Linked DNA regions of Cricetulus griseus. The protein of the gene in region 2 interacts with the protein of the main gene of each other region in a pairwise test. Links are inferred from orthologs where the notes say so. Each region holds a gene or a part of one and is shown on either strand. Other genes may lie near its edges.

Evidence for each region.
Region 1: the proteins of Ctnnd1 (region 2) and Zbtb33 interact in binary tests that used the Homo sapiens proteins (3 or more experiments, as listed by UniProt). The link is inferred for Cricetulus griseus from reciprocal best matches to the Homo sapiens genes CTNND1 and ZBTB33.

The regions. Positions count from the first base shown.
Region 1 is NC_048604.1:28,860,967-28,863,709, forward strand, and holds part of Zbtb33 (transcriptional regulator Kaiso), read right to left. Parts: coding exon 1,044-2,743; 3' UTR 1-1,043. UniProt on the Homo sapiens protein: Transcriptional regulator with bimodal DNA-binding specificity.
Region 2 is NC_048599.1:90,880,114-90,883,869, forward strand, and holds the start of Ctnnd1 (catenin delta-1), read left to right. Parts: upstream 1-1,226; 5' UTR 1,227-1,533; intron 1,534-3,756. UniProt on the Homo sapiens protein: Key regulator of cell-cell adhesion that associates with and regulates the cell adhesion properties of both C-, E- and N-cadherins, being critical for their surface stability.

The sequences.
Region 1 (2,743 bases), on a different chromosome or scaffold from region 2:
AGATGCATTTGGTGGCTTTCAGATAGTAAATTTACATTTCATGGGAACACTTTTAACCATAATTTTCAAAAATCTCCACATAAAAAGCAGAAGATTAAAGATAAGCACAAAAGAACTTTGCATTACCTCCTGTTGCATTACCTCCTGTTTTCACTACAAGCATGCCTGCTAGGTCATTTTTTGTTTTTTTGCTCAAAACGACTCTTGTCGTTTTGAAGGTATACAGGGGCAGCTGGGTGGGGTGACACAGGCCTTTAATCCCAGCACTGGGGAGGCAGAGGCAAGCAGATCTCTGTGAGTTCGAGGCCAGCCTGGTCTACTGAGACAGTTCCAAGATATAGCCTCCAAAGCTATACAGAGAAACCTGGTCTCAAAAAAAACCAAAAAAAGGGGGGGTATACAGTGGCCTTGTCCTCAAAAATCTCTTACAGACTATGGCAATGAAAGCAATGGTTAATCCCACTTAGCTAGAACTAACTCATCCTTCATAGGAGATACGTGTTTGCATGGCTATTTTATACTGGGAGGGAGGCAGGAGGCTGATCTCCATTTGGACCGACAGAACAAACCACCAAGTTAGGACTTACTCTGAAATTCACTAGAACAAGTTTTGGAAGTTCACTAACTTTTATGCTGTATACAAGACATTACACACTTAGGCTTAACATTAAGAAAATTGAAAATTCAGCAGTAAAGTGCTAATATGGAAGGGGGAACAGTATAAGCTGTACTAGGGTATATTAGTAATTCTCAAAGAACATTTAGACTGCTTCAAATTCTATTCAGAAAACTATCTCTCTGTACCTTTAAAAAGTTACATCTTTTAAATGAGCTGAAAGCTAGACTATACAGATACTTCAGGGGGTGTTCAATCTCTACTCCAACTTTTAGAAAAAAATGTTTCTAAAAATTAACAATGCAACTAAACTACTTTCAGATGACATGGGAGATCAAATGAACAAGTTTCCACCTTAATTTGCTTCACACGTCTTCTGAAATCCCTGCCCCTTAATCCAACTCAAACTTTGATATTTCAAAGGAGGTCAGTAAGATTCTGGTATTATAAATTCAAACTCAGTACTGCCATCTGTTACATTCTGTTTAAACATGGAATCATTTTCCTGCTGAATAAAAATCTCTTCCCAGTTCATTGCCTTGTTTTGAGGAGTAGATGTGGTCCCTACTGGAGGCTCTTTTCCAGCACCAACCTTATACCCAATTGCATCATCCTTCATGACAGGCACAGCACTCGATCGATCAGAAAGATACGCATACTGTCTGATCTGCAAAGACTTGCATGGATGCAAACGATAAAGCTTTGAGTCCCCAGAAGGATCTTGACTGTGAACTGACTTTATGTGTGAAGACATAAACTGATAGTTGATGAAAGATTTGCCACATGCTAAACACTGATACCTTCGCTCCCCCGTGTGTTGAATTTCATGCTTTGTGCGATACTCTGCAAGAGGAAATACCTTATCACAGTAACGGCAGGCATACTTCTTCTCCCAAGAATGAATGTTAAAATGTCTTCGCAAGCTGGTCAGACAGACATATGACCTTTTGCATACAATACAGATATAATAGACCCTTCCATCTACTATTAACTCATAGTGATCATCATGTTTTACTTTCATGCGCTTGTTTGATGGCTCACTGCCAGATGTTTTTGGTAGCTCATTCTCAAGTTTGGCCTCCCCTTCATCAGGGTCATCTTTGACAGGGATCACTATGTCATAAGTATCTTCACCTATATTTGCATAAACCTTGCAACCAGTTGATAAGCCTTCAATTTCAGTAGCTGTATCTAAAGTAATGATTTTCTGCCCCTCCGTGAGATATTTTGGTCCTAAGCCTGGAACCTTCGTGTTTCTAGTAATGATATCTGAAATTTTCAAAGACTTGGAAGGTTGCTCTTGAACAAGTACAGGAGTGTGCACCTTCTGTGTCAACGATCCATCAAAAGTGGTACTTTTGGAGGTACCCGTCTGTGGGACCAAAGATGTATTACTGACTGCTGAGTCTGGACTGGAGCTAATGGTGTCATCATCATCATCTATAATGTCTTCCTCTTCTTCCTCATTGGCCTTGTTTCCTGTTAAAACAGCATTGTTTGGTGTCTGCTGATTCTGCACAAGTAAATTAATCGGTGTCGGCTGATTCTGTACAAGCAAATTGATGGAAGAGGACATGTGATTTGGAAGTGAAGAGCTGACACTTGGTGCTGTGGTAAGTGGAGCCTGATTTAATAAAATAATGTTAGGAGTCAGATGTGTTGAAGCTGAAGACACCAGCAATTCTTCACTTCGTTGTGGTTGGCTAAGAGTTGCCTGATTTACAGGAGTGGGAAGTGTCTGAGCAGGTGTGATGTCTGTTAAAGGGGGGGAGTTATTGCTAGCACAAGGTGTCACTTCTGAAATAGCAACAGGGGCTGGGGTAGGCTGGACCTGCGTCACTGTGTTGTTACTTGGCAAATTCTCCTTTTCAGGCAAAATCTCAGAGCAGAAAATGACATCATCATCATCATCCGAGTCAGTAACAATGATCTTTTTCATTTCATAATCTTCAGCAGATAATGAAAAAGACTCTGTTATAATGGGCATGACAGTAGCCCCGGTATCTTGCACTTCATCCTTTGATTTTTGGATGGCAAGGTTTTTGTCACTACAATCAGGAGGTAAGGTCTCAGCAGTACCATCTTGTTCTGTACCTGATATAGTTTTAACCTGTGACAGCGGGACAC
Region 2 (3,756 bases):
AGAAATATGGCAACAAGAGGTCTTAGTGGGTAAAATCCTTGCTGCCAAGCCTTATGACCTAGGTTTGATCCCCTGGACCCATACAGAAGAAGGAGAGAAGGGATTCCTGTAAATTGTTCTCAGACCTGAACATGAGTGCTGTAGTACATGTATGCCTATGCACATATTTAAACACAGATACACACATTTAATTTAGAAAATATAAAGAGAAACCTTCCAATTCATTATCTTTGTTTAGTAATTAGTAAGTAACTGATACTAGTCTTACCAAGTGGTAATATGCCAGCATTCCCATCACTGAGAAGGCAGAGGCTGAGGGATTTTAAGTTTGAGGCCAGCCAGTGGTCCAGTGAGACCTTGTCTCAAACAAAACAAAGCAACAATAAGCAAAACCCCTTCCCCTCCTAAATCTTAAACAAATCTAGAGGAAAATTCCTGTATGTTTTATTTAGGTCAAATAAAAATGCCAGGTAATTTTGAGTTCACAAATAGCATTCCCTTAATTATTTTAACTATATTCTTATCTATTCTAAACTTTTTGTTTACTAGATTCTGTCTATTGTACCAGGCAAACCCACATTTCTTTTATGGAAAGACAGTGGTTTTCCTCAACAGCTCTGTGGATTCTGCTTCCTTTTAGTTTAAAGCAGAGAGGCTAACAAGCTAGCAACAAGCCTAAGCATTTATTTTTCCTCATAAACGCTAATGCAATTAAATCAAAACAATGAAATTGAGAGTTTGCCTGAGATATTTCCTACCATCCCAATCAACAGTCCTGTTTCTGGGATTTCTCTCTCCTTCCTTCCTGGCTTCCATTGGGAAATGCTTTGGGGAAGAAAGCAAGAAACCAAACAGCAGCAGGCAAATAAAGTAAGCTCTTTTCCGTTTACCCACCCTGATAGGTAGGGGAAGGGAGCAAGACCCTCATCAAAGAGAACTGAGGCTTAGGCGTGCCGTTCTAAAAAAGCTTTGTTATCTAGCACCTCCCACCTCCCCCTGAGCTCTGCAGTAATTCCTTGGAGATTGTATAGTCTCCGCTTTAAATATAAATATATATATAATACATATATTTAAAACTTCCTTGTCTTTCTCTCTCTCTTTTTTTTAATTTCCTATAATAAAGTTTCCTATTGGATAAGGTCAGCTCCCTGATTTATGCCTGGCTCCTATTGGAAGCTCGCAGGGGCTGACATCACTTAGGAAAGCTAGGGTAGGGCTGCCAGATCAGTTTGTCACCACCCAGGCTCCCTTGCCTTTGGCTGGGTGCAACTTCCATTTTAGGTGTTGGATCTGAGGGGAAAGAGAGAGAGAGAGAGAGAGAGAGAGAGAGAGAGAGAGAGAGAGAGAGAGAGAGAACAGGAGGACGGGAGGGAGACAGAGACAGACACGGAGGGAGAGGGAAAGAGGCAGGAAAGATCCTGAAAGAGGAAGAGGAAGAGGTGGCCTGAACCTCGCTGGATTGTCTTTCACAGCACACCGGTGAAGCTTTGGGTTTGTGTCTTAAAGGATTGGCTTTAGAAGTCCACATTTGAGGTGTGTGTTCTTTTCATTTTTTCCTTTTATAAAAATGTGTGTATAACTAGTTGGGAAAAGGATAACCCAAGTAGAATTTTTGTCTTAATGGTAACTGGAGGGAATTTAAAAAAAGGCAAGAGAGCCTGTTAAAGCTGACGGTGAATTTTAGCCAGTTATTTTTTCTACTTTTAATGCTTTGGATGTATTTTGGTATTTTATTTATGTTAAGGAAAAGGTAAATGTACTGGACCTAATACCGGAAGCTGGTTTAGAACCGGGAGGTAGAAGTTGTGTAAATTACATTTTTGTGTGTACTTTTATTTCATTTTATTTTATTTTTCTGAATTAAGCTAACATACTTCTGTTTTCAGAGCTCAAAAAGTTGTTTTCTTGGCATGTTGTGTGTGGGTTGGGAAAGGAATTTGTCCTGGTCAGGAGAAAGTTGTATAGATGGCTCTTACCATGTTTCAAAACTTTCAGCCCCCTCACCTTTGAATCTGTGGCAGTAGAAAGTTGCAGGGAGCTTTAGAGCTTAAATAGTATTCATTGTTTTTTTCCTCCTGAGTTCGAACGGCCCAGATGCTTTTCAGCTCTGCTCTTCCTGGGTGGATCCCTTACTTTTCCAGGTGAGGTGGGTGGGAGGGAGCCTAGCCTGTTAGTAGGAACCCCTTTGCTTTGCCTTGAAAAACAAATGGATCTATGTTAACTGAATTGCCACCACTTTTTTTGTTTTTAAGCCTAAAAATACTTTTGATGGCAGAGATTTGTGAAGGTGTCGTGTGTTAGACCTGCAAATATGATAATGTTGGTGCTTTAAGGGGTAAGGAATTCTAACCATGCTTTCTGTTGACCAGAGGAAAGCGGCAGAACACCTGAGAGTCTTTTCAGCCCTCTTGGTTTCCAAAAGGGCTGTAGGTTGTGAATGATCAGACGAAAGGGAACCACTTAATGAAAACTTGAGTTTGCAAACCCATTTGAGAAAGCACAAAGGGAATTTTATTTCTAAGCCAGTGGAAAGGTGATTTTTACAGTTGTCTTTTGTTTGTTTGGTTGGTTAACTTACCATTAAGTTAGAATCTGTTAGAGATAAAGGCCTATGACTGCTTCATGTTTTATAATTGGCCTTAAGATTTGTTTGGTTTTGCTTTTTGTACATACGTTCTTGCAAATGTGCTGATCCCAGATAATTATATAGCCTACTCATCAGTAGCTGCAAAATATGGTATTCTTTTAAAATGGGATTCAGTATGGAAATTTGGGCTGGTATAGATATTGCTCTAATTGTAGCAAGATGAGTCTTAATGTGTAAGCTGCTCATTACCTTTAAATTGATACGAATCTTCTGATTTCATAGTCCCTGCCCCCATTCTTTTTAGACTGGAATACTTCCTTGATTTTTTTCTACAGTGAAGACATTCCTTGCAAGATGATTTTGTCCTTGTGAGGTTTGTGGCTTATGGAGGAAACAACTTTTGTTCCCCTTTTCATATAGTTTAGGTGAGGGTTACAGGAAAAGATTTGACATCTAGACTTCAGAATTAAAAGAAGTAGTTGAAAAGAAAGAAAGAAGACAATGTGTACAGTCAGTTGGACCGTATTTCTCATTTCCAGTTCTTTAGTTTTCCTTTGAAATGCTTTTCTCGGGAGGTTTCTTGGTGGGGTCTTTGGAGGGTTGGTCTGTTGCTGCCAGAGTGTCGGTTTCTCGCTCAACCTTTAGGGGGAGGGATGAGAGTCTGAAGGAGGAGTACAAAGGCAGTTTGAAAATAGGTTCTGGATGACTGGTGGTGATCTGGGTCCGGCTTTGAAACTGGGCTTTGTGTAGCTAGGTTCAACAGCATTAGAAGCCAGGACTATTTTTACAAATTAAAGCATTGTTTGGCCTTCGGTGTAATTAATATAGAGCCTTTTGAGGTGATAAGATGGAAGATTTTTATCTTTTACTTCACCTCTGCTGGTTCTTTGAGGAATTATAGGAAAGGGTACAGATAAGTAATCTTCTATTTTGCTATTATTACTATTTGCTGTGCTTTGTATTTTGATTTTGGGGTGAAAATGATGACAGATGAGTATGAATAGTACAGATTTTCTTTCCTTGTTTGCTTTGTATATAATTTGCTTAGTTTCTTTGTTATGTGAGTGAGGTAGTGGTCTGTTTCAGGTGTGTGTGTGAGGCGTCTCATGGCTGGTTATAGTTCCAGTGCCTTTCTTAGGATTGCAGTATGAACAGCCAGAGGGGTCAGA